Linked DNA regions of Rattus norvegicus. The protein of the gene in region 1 interacts with the protein of each later gene in a pairwise test. Links are inferred from orthologs where the notes say so. Each region holds a gene or a part of one and is shown on either strand. Other genes may lie near its edges.

Region 1 (6,815 bases):
TAGGACCCATAACTCAAGGGCCGTGCAGGACAGAGGTAAGAAAAGGCAAAGACTGGCCCTCAGACCAACTGCTAATTCAGCAAGAGACCTTACGTCAAGGGAATGAGCTAGAGAGATAGAGCAGCCACCAGCGAGACCCTGTGCCCTCCGTGTGTGCAGGGCCGTGCACAGCGTCGCATACACACACAGGCAGCGTACACACCCAGAAGACTAAAGTTCCAAGGCAACCTGGAAAAGTCAGCAAGACCCTGTCTCAAGATAAAATATAAAAGTAAGGCCCAGCGAGATGGCTCAGCAGATAAAAGGCACCTGCAACCGAGCCTAAGGACCTGGGTTCCATCCCTGGGACACGTAGTGGAAAGAGAACCGACTCCAGAGAGCTGTCCTCTGACCGATTCATAGGAGCCAGGGCACGGGTAAGCCCATACAAAATAAGAGAAAGAATAAAACGACGACAAAAAGTAAACAAACTGAAAAGCCAGCCCTTTGCACTCCCAGCAGGCAGATGCTTCACTCCACTATAAACGCCCAGGCTGCATGCAGTTCCAGGCATGGCTTCTGTCCCATGATTTCCATTCTCTGGAGAAGGCCACATGTGAACAGCCAAACAGAATCTGGCTGGCCACCTGCTAACAAGTGGCAAACGTCACTCCGGTTATATAAGGAAGCTGGGCAGAGGATTTTGTTGCCCGGAAAGAATGAGTAAAGACTTTCTTGTCCTTTTAAATCTGGCAGATTTCTCACGTTAGTATTTTGTGTTTCAGCATTAGATAACTCTCCTCTTCCTCCTATCAAGACAGTGACTCAGACTGACCGAGCTCCTGCCCGGGATTGCACAGTTTTGGCACTAATGGGTAAGGCTCCATGGGACAGGCATTTTGTTTTATTTTGCAGTCTACTAAGAGCTTTGAAACTGAGCCCAAGTGCCAGTTTTGTCATTCCAGCTACTTGGGAAATTAAGGCATGAGAATTGAAAGTTCCAGACTAGCCTAGGCAATTTACCCAGACCCAGTCCCAAAATAAGAATTATAAAAATAGATATATGAAGCCGGCGGTGGTGGTGCACACCTTTAATCCAGTGCTCAGGAGACAGAGGCAGGTGGATCGCTGAGTTCAATGTCAGCCGTGTACGGAGCAAGTTCCAGCACAGCCAGGGCTACACAGAGAAAACCTGTCTCAGGGTGGGGATAGGGAGTAAAATAAATGAGGGCTGGGGCATGGTCGGGGTACAGTTCCTGTCAAAAGTCCCCTAGTGAGGACTTGGTCCGGAGTGAAATAGCCCTTCACAGAATCCTCCAGTGCTGCTAAGGGTGGCTCCTAGCCACAGAGGACAAGCCTGTCTTAGAAAGTACATCAACAGTTTGTTGTGGTAAAGTTTCTATTACCATGAGCTGGCTATTGTTTAATTTATCCATTTGCTTATTTATTTCTATTGTCCATGCCAGTGTGCGCACACATGTCATGGCCCCTGTCTGCAGTGGGTTCTGAGATCAAACTAAGATCCTCAGGCTTAGGTGTCAAGAGCTATTAGCCATTGAGTCAGATCACTGAGGGGAGTGGAAACTTCCTTGTCGTTTGCTCAGTGATGTATGGAGAGAGGCTGCACAAGGGCTCACCAGACTCCATCTTCTGGAGGGACTTACAGGACATGGGAAATAAAGGATCCTTGCCGACCTCTGTTTTTGTTCTTCACTACTACTGTTTTGAGACAGTGTCCCAAGAAGCCCAGGCTGGCTTCGAACTTAGGATCCTCCTATTTCTGGCTCTGGAATGCTGAGATTACAGACGGGCTACCACACCCCGCTGTGTGGCAGGAATCTCCTTTAAAACCATACAAAACCTGACATGAGACCCCATATCTGTAATCCCAGCATTGGGTGAACAGAAATAGGAGATCCCCAGGTCTCGTTGGCCAGTCAGTCCAGGCCACTCAGCAAGCCCAGGTCCCAGTTGAGAGACCCTGACTCAAACAAACAAACAAACAAACAAACAAACAAACAAAAAAGAGTGAAGAGAAGCCGTGTAGTGGTGCACGTCTTGAATATCATCACTCGACATTACTATGCGTTCAAGACCAGCCTGGTCTATGTAGTGAGTTCCAGGCAAGTAGGGCCACATAGTGAGACCTACTTGAGGCTCCAAGGCCTGACACTATCACTGATGCTATGGTGTGCTTACAAACAGGAGCCGAGCATGACTGCCCTCTGAGAGACCCAACAAGCAGCTGAAAGAGTCAAATGCAGATATTTACACCCAACAACGGACAGAAGCTGCTGACCCCTGCGGTTGAATTAGGGAAAAAACAGAAGACGCTGAGGAGGAGGGCGACCCTATTGGAAGACCAGCAGCCTCAACAACCTGGACCCCCAAGATTGCTCAGACACTGAGCCACCAACCAAGCAGCTGATATGAGGCCCCCGACACATATACAACAGAGGGCTGCTGGGTCTTGACTCAGTGAGAGAAGATGTGCCTGTGCCTAACACTCAAGAGACTTGAGACCCCAGGAGTAGGGAGGTCTGGTGAGGTGGGGGTGGGGGAGTGGAAGGGGGACAAGGCATGAGATGTAGAACAGTCAGAGGGCGGACAAGGATAGGGATAAAGACTGGACTATAAAACAAGATTAAATAAAATAATAATAATAATAATAATAATAATAATAGACAAGGTACAGGGCTGGAGACTGCTCAGTGGTTAAGAGCATTTACTGAGCAGCCTTGAGAACCGAGTTCTGATCCACATAGCGAGTTGGGTATACAGCCACACAGCCCTGACTGCTCTTCCAGAGGTCCTGAGTTCAAATCCCAGCAACCACATGGTGGCTCACAACCATCTGTAATGAGATCTGATGCCCTCTTGTGATGTGTCTGAAGACAGCTACAGTGTACTCATATATAATAAATAAATAAATCTTTAAAAAAAAAGAGGACGCTGACCTCCACCTCCGTACACCAACCAATATGCACACCCACGACCTTCAGAGCCCAGACTGTGTTGGCAAAAGCCTTGTATACCATGAAACATAGTAGCAGCAGGGATGGGACCCTCAGGAAGCCAGTCAAGTGCTCTACTGAGGAGGCTATGCCTGGTCCTTGAGTAACCCTGCTTAGTTCTGCATTCATCTCCAGCCTCGTCCAGCTTAGCACGCTCACCTCTGGTCCTCCTCCTTCTGCAACTCTCGGTTCCGCTCTTCCAACTGTTGCTGGAGTCGCTTTCTCTGCTGCTCCGGGGGCAGGTGACTGAAATCTTCGGTGACCACGGTCTGCAAGATGAGACAGGATCTGAGTTTAGGATTTGCGACCCTATGTTTGCCAAGCGCCTCTCTCGCTCCTGAAATACCAGGTCCACCTTCCTCCCCTAGCAGGAATTTTAAGGAGTGAGGCCATGCACAGAGCAAAGCTGGAATCTGGGGGACCCAGCAGGCAGCAGGAAAGAGCCCAGGGTCCCACCATCCGGCCTCAACTTACCCCACGGCTGCCTCGGAGGCTGCGGAAGGATGCTAGCCGCGGTTTGACCGACTTACTGATCTCGCTCAGTATGGCCAAGGGGTCACGGCCAGAACGGGGGGATGAGGGTCCATCAGACAGTGTGGAGGGTAGGTGACCCCCCAGGAGGGACAGGGATGGGGGACGCGGCTAACCGTGGGGGCCAGGGAAGGGGGGATGAATCAGGGATGGAGATGCGAGGATGTAGTCGGAGAAGGATGGACGGACGTGACACAGGAAACAGGAAAAACAAAATGGAGAAAGAGGGAAAAATAATGATAAGAAAACCACAACTGAATGGTAAGATCACACAGAAAACACCTATAAAAGCAACAACAGAAGATTTGGGAGGTGCCAGGGAAGACAAGAGAAGGGCAGCCAGGGCCAGCAAGAGGACTTAGCAGGGAAAAGGGTTTGTGCCAAGCCCTGAAAGAGAGAAAACTGATTCCCATAAGCTATCATCTGACCTCCATATACCCCAAAATATAAAACCTAATAAATTAAAAACTATGAGGCAGGTGCCAGTCACTTCCCAAGCCTTCTTTGACCCTTGAGTCTTAGGACTCAGAGAGCACCCCAGGAGGTGTTTCTGCCAGGCTTCCTGCACTTACAGTCTAGAAGGTAGGGTGCATGACAGAAGTAAAGACTGGGGACAAAGTGATGGCTCAGTCCGTAAAAATGCTTGCCACCACCAAGCACGATGACCTAAGTTTGATCCCTGGGATCAAGGAGAGACCTGAGTCCTGAAAGTCCTTCAGTGACATCTACATGTGCATGAGCACACACAATACATAAATAAATAAAAGTAATATTGTTTTTAAAGAACCAGGGTGGTCAGACACATAGGCTAAGGGAGACAGATAGGGGGATGAGAGGTGGGGGATATCAGTGCTTGCCTACTACTCAGAAGTCCAAGTTCAAGAGAGGAGGGATGGCAGGTGGGAGGAGAAATGGCAGGTGGGAGGAGGGATGGCAGGTGGGAGGAGGGATGGCAGGTAGGTAGGAGAAATGGCAGGTGGGAGGAGGGATAACAGGTGGGAGGATAAATGGCAGGTGGGAGGAGGGATGGCAGGTGGGAGGAGGGATAGCAGGTGGGAGGAGGGATGGCAGGTAGGAGGAGATAGCAGGTGGGAGGGAGGAGGGATAGCAGGTGGGAGGAGGGATGGCAGGTGGGAGGAGAGATGGCAGGTGGGAGGAGGGATGGCAGGTGGGAGGAGGGATGGCAGGTGGGAGGGAGGAGGGATAGCAGGTGGGAGGAGGGATGGCAGGTGGGAGGAGAGATGGCAGGTGGGAGGAGGGATGGCAGGTGGGAGGAGGGATGGCAGGTGGGAGGAGGGATGGCAGGTGGGAGGAGGGATGACAGGTGGGAGGAGGGATGACAGGTGGGAGGAGGGATGGCAGGAGGGAGGAGGGATGGGAGGTGGGAGGAGGGATGACAGGTGGGAGGAGGGATGGCAGGTGGGAGGAGGGATGGCAGGTGGGAGGAGGGATGACAGGTAGGAGGAGGGATGGCAGGTGGGAGGAGGGATGGCAGGAGGGAGGAGGGATGGCAGGTGGGAGGAGGGATGGCAGGTGGGAGGAGGGATGACAGGTGGGAGGAGGGATGGGAGGTGTCAGGTAAGAGGGGTATAAGTTAAATAGGATGGAAAAGAAGAAAACAACTGCAAGGAATAGCTAGAAGAAAGAGTGATTGTGGAAGGGGTAAACCAGGTGGTGTCGAGGTATACACTGGACCCTAAAAGTCAAATTCCCAAGGAGAAAATGCACAGAAAGTGGAGGGTCCCCCAAAACAGAGAATGGAGATAGAGGATGACTCCCAGGGATTGGGGGGCAATGTCACAGCTGTCAGGCCAACATGAGATTTCAAGGGTCTTAGGATGCAGTAGAAGATGCCACAGGCCCACAGCCCTGTCCTCCCTCCCTCTCATGCTCAGAGGGACTCCAAAGCCAGCCAGTGGGTTCTCAGGCCTGCCTTCCTCTGTTTCCTTCCCTCCAACCTGGGCCAACAGCCAAGAGGAAAATTCCTGCCCCAGGACTCGGGCTTCCATGTGGCTGCAGCTGAGTCAGCGAGGACCTCGGCTGACTGTCCCCCCTCCACCCACTCCTCACCCCAAGAGCTCCGGACCCCACCTTGTTCTTTTTCCCAAAAGGCCAACGCTTGGCACGACTACGGCTGGAAGCTGCTCGGAGCTCAGGCCTGCCATCTGGGGTGCCCAGGCTGCTGTCCGACGGCACTCGGTTCATAACTTGGCTGAAGTCTTCAAATTCCAAGTCACCCGGGCGGGCAAACCCTGACTTGTGTAATTCGATGAGGACCTTCGAGTCCTTTGGGAAGGGGCAAGAAGTGAATGGCAACCAGCAGCCAGGTTAAGAAACTACCTTTGGGGTGTTGGGGATTTAGCTCAGTGGTAGAGTGCTTGCCTAGAAAGCACAAGGCCCTGGGTTCGGTCCTCAGCTCAGCGGGGGGGGGGGGGGGGGGGGGGGGGCTACCTTTGGGGAGCCGCCCTCCCTTAGCCCACATTTCACCCCTTGGGCTCAGGCTGAGCACCCACGTTCTTAGCATCCACGGACTCTGCGGCCACCTTCATGCCCTCCAAGCATTTGCCAATAATGGGAACCACCTGCAGTTCAGCTTCAGATAAGAGCCCATACCCGGCCCCAAGGCGGGTGGCCCGGCGTTCATCCATGTCCTGCAGCTTCTGGAGACCAGAGGAGAGTACAAGGTAACTCAACCCTGCAAACAACTCCAAGCTGAAACCATCAAGCCCTCGAGCCCAGGCTTGACAAAGAAGATAGAATCAGGTCTGCCCTCATGACCCCAGGGGCAGGGTGAAGGTGCAGGAGTGTTTTCTCAAAGGAGGTTACAAAGAGACAGAGCCTAAATAAAGAATATGTGGAGCATAGACAATCCTGACACCAGGTTGGGACAGAGAGTGGGGAAGAAGGCTGGGGAAATTTGAGACCTACCTAGGGCTTGTTAGAGCTAGGGCTTAGAAGGATGAATAGAGTTTCAAAATCCAAGAGTCTCTTCCTCTCTTCCTTCCTTCTGTCTCTCCACTCCTTTCCCAATCCTTCCTTCCTTCCTTCCCTTCTGAGACATGGTCTCTCTAGTAAGCCTGGGCTCTCCTGAAACTTGCTATGTAAACCAAGCTGGCTCAGTAACTTCTGCCATCCTCCTGCCTCTACCTCCAGAATGCTGGGACTCCGGGCACACTCCACTCTTTCAGCATCAGAGTAAGGAAACAGGAGCTGGGATTTTAACACCTGAGTGGGAGCTGAGGCTCTCTGAGGGACTCACGTCGAATATCTGCGGCATCTGTGAGAAGTAGA
Region 2 (6,217 bases), on another chromosome or scaffold:
CTACTTTTCAGGCCATAGAACTCATCCTATGTCCTGAATTGTAGTTGGGGGAGGGGGGCAGTCAACCCAAGACCTGGGGATAAAGCCCAGAATTGATTAATGATGCCTGTCATCGGTGAAGGAATAGGAGATGGGTTATGTGTGCTACACGTGTAGCATCAACCACGCCCAGCAGAGCCCCGCAATGCTAGTATCACTAAAACTCTTGCTTCTCTTTTATACCAGGGACCAGGCTCAACTGGACGCTGCCTCTGTGTCCTCCATTCAGGTGGTGGGTGTTGTCGAGGTGCTGATACAGAATGCAGACACCCTCTTTCCTGGAGGTGATGTCCTCTATGTCATCTCTAGTCCCCACTTCTCCAGTTCCAGGACTACAGCCCAAGCTCAAGTCCTGATTGCCCCCAAAACTCTCTATGTGGCTTAAAGGAAGCTGCTTTCTCTGCACTGAGCCTCAGTTTCTCATCTGTGAAATGGGAACAGTGCTATCTGACCCATGGGAGTAGGAAGGCTAAGAAAGAGATGTCCCATCATTTCAAGGAAAGAGAGTAGCCCTGACTCTGGCCAGGGCAGGCAGGCTTGGCTAAGGCTCTGAACTTGAACCCTGTTCATTCTGCCTCTAGATATCAACTTCAGTGTATCAGGCATCTTCTCAGGCCTGGCCCCCCAGGAGAAGCCCAATAGTCAACAGGTCTCAGAGGAATTGGCACCTGTTGCTGTGCCTGCCACAGCCGCTACCCCAACTCCCACCCCAGCTCCTACCCCAGCTCCAGCCTCCATGACAGTAAAAGAAAGGTAAGAACTAAACAGGAATAGCCTAATTCTGGCCTGGGGCTCTCAGAGGATTTAGGAATGTAATTTGTGGTATTTGTTCTGTAGATCTGGTCCCACAGGTTGGAGTACGTGGGAGGAGCCTGTTCTCAGCTTTAAGCATGTTCCCTTCATTGTAGGGCTATTTCTACAGCACCTATTATGTGCCCCAGGCACATGCCCTGGGAATTTAGGGAATTGGGAGGGGATGGTTGGGATTCATAACTTTCCTGTCTTCAATCCTGTAAGTCTGAAAGGTTTTGTGGCAGACTGGCATTTCTCAGTGGTTCACACGATGGGACTCCCTTAAATGAGGCGGGTATATGCCACCCTCAGCCCCTACCTTGAATGAGGCAGGGAGAGTGGACATTGCCCCATCTACATTCCTGTGATGTCAGGATGCACGTTCTGCTGGAGGGTTATACAGTGTACAGGCAGCATAGAGAGCTGTACCAGCAGGTAGGAAACGAAGGCCTCTCTGGGGAAATGGCCATATGGACGGACGTTTAGGAAGCCAGACTCTTTCAACTGCTGCTCACATACTCTGACTCTGACTTCTGTTGGCAGATCACATGGGGGGGTGGGGGCTAGGGGTGTAGCTTTATTGGTTGCCTAGTACACAGGAAGGCTGGGTTCAAGCCTCAGGAGTGCACAAAATGGGCACAATGATACTTAATCAGCACCGAGAGGTGTAGGCAGAAGGATCAGGAGTTCAGGATCCGCTTTCTCGGCATGGAAAGTTCAAGGCCAGCCTAGGCAGTTCCAGAATGAGACAGTCTCAAAAAAGGAAAAAAAAAAAAGATCACCTAGAAAAGCCGAAGGCTTGCTTGCTTCCAACCTTTGTGGCTCTGATAAACACTATGAGCAAATCAGCTTGGGAGGGAAAAAAGGGTTTACTTTCTTTCTTTCTTTCTTTCTTTCTTTCTTTTTTTTTAATTTTTTAAAAAGATTTATTCATTTATTATATATAAGTACACTGTAGCTGTCTTCAGACACACCAGAAGAGGGCATCAGATCTCTTTACAGATGGTTGTGAGCCACCATGTGGTTGCTGGGAATTGAACTCATGATCTCTGGAAGAGCAGTCAGGTGCTCTTAACCACTGAGCCGTCTCTCCAGCCCCCAAGGGTTTACTTTCTTATACTTCACTTAGCAGTCTATCAGGGAGACAGGATCTCAAGCAGGAGCAGAGGCAGGAGCCCTGGACATCATTGCTTAAGGCCTTGTCTGCTGACTGGGCAGTTGGCGTTCTTTTTTTTTTTTTTTTTTTCCGGAGCTGGGGACCGAACCCAGGGCCTTGCGCTTCCTAGGCAAGCGCTCTACCACTGAGCCAAATCCCCAACCCGGCAGCAGTTGGCTTTCTTAGACAACTCCGGATGCTTTGTCAGGAGACAGCATGGCCCACAGTGAGCTGGTCCCTCTCACATCAATCTGAAATCAAGACAGTCCCGCACCGGTAGTCCCCCACCTCCATGGACTCAGGCCAGTCTGATTCGGTGATCCCTCAGTTGAGACTCCCTCTTCCCCTGTGACTCTGGATTGTGTCAAGTTGGCTGTTAAAGTTAACTAAGCCAGGATTAATGGACACAAACCCTGCCGATACCTGAAGTATCTAGTAGAGAGACTAAGACCGAGAACGCATTCTTGGCGCAGCCATAGCTGGTGGGAAGCAAATCCTTCCACCCAACACTTTGGAGTCATGTGGAACCCTAGTAGGAGCTTTCCAGGAAATAGCCAAGCTTGATTGTCGCACCTCTCTTTCCCTCGACAGGACAGAGTCTGAATTGCCCAAACCAGCTTCCCCCAAGGTCAGCAGGAGCCCCACAGATACAACTGCTTTGGCAGAGGACATGACTCGGAAGAGTAAGTGGGCTGTGGGAGAGAAGAGTTGGAGAGTGGGAACTCCCACCCCTGCCGTCTCTACACACCTCCAGAGAGGCTGGCATTAGACGTAGTGAGAAGGTCGGGGTTCGCTGCCCGGCACCTGGACCCAGCTTCCAGTTTATTCCTTGGGCAGGTGGGGCAGCCTGTCAGAGCCTCTACACTCCTCTGTGCGGCCGAACTGTAATTGCCCCCCAACCTTGAAGCGCTGGGACCTCAGGGAGTGTGCAGGGCTCTGGCACACAGGAAGTGCTAGAGAAAGGAAGTCAGTGTCAGAGTGGCGAGTGTTCCAGCCCTCCGGAAGCCCAAGGACTATGAAGGACAGGACCAGAACTGTATTTAAGGGAGAGGGAAGTGAGAAGTTTGCAAGGAGTCTGGAGGCTCCTGGAGCTCCCTGGCACACTCAAGCCAGTCTGGCCCAGGATGGATATAGGTAAGAGGTCAGGGATCCTCATGAGGACTAGGTCACTGCAGAGCACCCATCCCAGTTCTGACAAGGAACTTTAGAGCTGAATGCATCCTGCCGTGCTAGGGGAGCAGCCATAGAAGTCTACAGGCCACACAGAGACCTGGAAACCAGGGTACTGTCAGAGTCACCTGAACTGGCTGGTGACTTACCAGTGAGGAAACAAGCCCCAGAGAGCAAATGAGCCATTCCAGACACCAGAGCCCACAGAGCCAGGGAGAGTTTTGATGTCAGCTCCACCTAGCTTCCCCGCAGCCTCCAACTACCTCACAAGGTTGGAACTTGCTTGAGGACCTGGGGCTTCTGAGAGGCAAGCAGGACCCCTGTGTCCCATGGGTCAATAGGGACAGGAGGCATTTATATAATTAACAGATGTGTAGCCACTCCTGCTTGACGCCTAGACTGAGCTAACTAGCAGCCATGTTGGGTTTATGTTCTGGGGAGAGACACAAGAAAGATGGGCAAGATACTTGTGAGGACAGGTTTTCTGAGAAAGATGATTGGCAGCATAACCGGGGTGGGGTCTGGGATATCTACTGTAAGCTGAGAGGTCCACGGAGGAGGACCACTAGGGAGCACTTCCACCAGAGAGGACCACCAGGGAGCACCTCAGTGATGAGGACCCACTGTGGAAAGTGAAACCACCCCCGCATGAAGAAATGTACAAAGGCCTAGATGCGGGAATGAACATGCGATGTACACAGACACGTGAACCCCTAACTTTCCTGTTTCGCTTCCTCCACAGCCAAGCGCCCAGCACCAGCCCGGCCTACCATGCCACCTCCCCAGCCTTCCAGCTCACGCTCATCCCCTCCAGCTCTATCCCTGCCCGCTGGCTCGGTCAGCCCTGGCACTCCCCAAGCTTTGCCACGCCGTCTGGTGGGCACCAGCCTCCGGGCCCCCACCGTACCTCCCCCATTACCCCCTGCTCCTCCACAACCTGCCCGGCGACAGAGCCGGCGTTTACCAGTCTCCCCCTGCCCAGCCTCCCCTGTCATTTCAAACATGCCTGCTCAGGTGGACCAGGGAGCGGCTACAGAGGACAGAGGAGGCCCTGAGGCTGTGGGTGGGCATCCCCCTACCCCAGTTCTGCCACCCCAGCCCCGGCCCAGGGGCCTCATTTCAGAGACAGATTAAGCAGGCCCTCCTGCCTGGCAAGTCTTCAGTGTCCCCTTTCTCTCCTCCTCTCCCCTTCCTCCCTTGTCTCCCATGATAGCCCTCACCATGTGCCTAGGTGCCTGCTGGGCCGGCCCCTATGGCCAGGAGGGCTCAAGCCAGCCCTCTAAATTTCAAACCTTTCCTCTTCCACTTTGAGCTTGGAGTTCCCACCCGACTCCCCACTCTCTGGCAGGGTTTCAAGGGAGCTACCAGAAGGAAGGACAACAGACATGCCTGTTCCTACGGGACTTTTATTTTTCTCTTGCCAATGTATTTTTGTAAGGCTCGTAAATAAATTATTTTTAACAAAACTGGAGTAAACGGCCAAACAAAAGCTTCCTCTCCTGGAGATACAGAATCTACCCCCATAAGGAGGAAAGGGGACAGATAGAGTATCTTCCCCTCCTTCCTGATTTAATAGCCAAGGGCTTGGGACTTTCTCGGAGCTGCTTGTCTGAATATGGTTCCCATAGACTAGTTTCTCACTGAGGTAATGGCACCACCTGCAGGTGACGACGTCTCTGAAGCCAGTGAGAGGGGACTGTACAGGCCATGCCAGCCTGAGGTGTAACACATGAGCTTAGTTCTGAAGCCTGGGCTCTTCCTCCCACCCAGGGCAGTTTGCTCAGCCTCTCAGGAGAATGGGTTCCTCTGAGGCAGTCTGTGGTCGGAAGACCAAAGCGCCCATGCACACACACACACACACACACACACACACACACACACACACACACACACACACACACAAACACACAACCTTCCCAGGAGCAGGGATTGATCTACTCATGGCCTTCCTGAGTTGCTCTGTGTAGACCCAGACTAACACCCCTTACAGCTCTACACCTGAGGGTCTTTTGGGAGTGGGCTGGCAGAATTGAGTCAATACAGCTGGAAGCCCAATTTAATAGCCTAGAGTGGGCGGGGGCATGCTGTCCAGAGTCTTATAGGCCAAGAAGATGGATGACAAAGGGCACAGAGAACAGAAATTAATTGGGCTCAAAGGCGTGGTTTTTCCCTTAGTCTCTTAAAAAGAAAAAAAGACTTATGTATATGAGTACACTGTAGCTGTCTTCAGACACCAGAAGAGGGCATCAGGTCCCATTACAGATGGTTTTGAGCCACCATGTGGTTGTTGGGAATTGAACTCAGGACCTCTGAAAGAACAGTCAGTGTTCTTAACCACTGAGCCATCTCTCCAGCCCTCCCTTGGTCTCTTAACTTCAGTTGCTCTGGAGGTTAGGCAGCTACAGCTCTGCTTAGAACCGCAAAATTGTGACAGTACAGATCCCCATTCATTCCTGGTCCCCACGCTTTGAACTATTGGTTATTCAAAGGCTCGACGGATTAAAAGGTCCCCATCTACAAAATGGAGACTTAGGCAGCTGGGACCACCCCATCAATAACATGGACAACCAATTGGCCCTGATGACCAAAATAATGTCTAGCTGTTTCCCCCACCCCACCCCCCACAAAACACATGAAGTCAGATTTCTAGGTTCCTGTCTTAAATCCATGTAATTGTTTGTTTTGTTTTTTTTTTTATTTTTTGGTTTTCGAGACAGGGTTTCTAGTACAGAATGTTTAGTACTTGCTCTGTAAACTGGGCTGTCCTCGAAATCAGAGATCTTCCTGCCTCTGATTCTGAGTGCTGCGATTAAAGGCATGTGCTACCATTGCCTGGCTACAATGTTTTAACATCCATTTGTGTGTGGATGTGCCTGGGGAGGTCAGAAAACAACTTGAAGGAGTATGTTCTCTCCACCGTGAGGTTTCTGAAGAAGGAACTCAGGTTCTCAGCCTTGACAGAAAACTGCCATCATCTGCTGAACCATTTCACTGACCCTGCATCCGTGTTTTAAAAATCATTTATCCTGGGTTCGGTCCCCAGCTCCGAAAAAAAGAAAA

Evidence for each region.
Region 2: the proteins of Trip10 (region 1) and Sh3bp1 interact in binary tests that used the Homo sapiens proteins (3 or more experiments, as listed by UniProt). The two-hybrid records come from large-scale screens. The link is inferred for Rattus norvegicus from reciprocal best matches to the Homo sapiens genes TRIP10 and SH3BP1.

The regions. Positions count from the first base shown.
Region 1 is NC_086027.1:2,225,227-2,232,041, reverse strand, and holds part of Trip10 (cdc42-interacting protein 4), read right to left. Parts: coding exon 6,784-6,815; intron 6,185-6,783; coding exon 6,038-6,184; intron 5,811-6,037; coding exon 5,616-5,810; intron 3,636-5,615; coding exon of another isoform or gene 3,468-3,635; intron 3,263-3,467; coding exon 3,153-3,262; intron 1-3,152. UniProt on the Homo sapiens protein: Required for translocation of GLUT4 to the plasma membrane in response to insulin signaling. Required to coordinate membrane tubulation with reorganization of the actin cytoskeleton during endocytosis.
Region 2 is NC_086025.1:112,346,032-112,352,248, forward strand, and holds the end of Sh3bp1 (SH3 domain-binding protein 1), read left to right. Parts: intron 1-225; coding exon 226-323; intron 324-620; coding exon 621-792; intron 793-2,578; coding exon 2,579-2,670; intron 2,671-3,899; coding exon 3,900-4,291; 3' UTR 4,292-4,628; downstream 4,629-6,217. UniProt on the Homo sapiens protein: GTPase activating protein (GAP) which specifically converts GTP-bound Rho-type GTPases including RAC1 and CDC42 in their inactive GDP-bound form.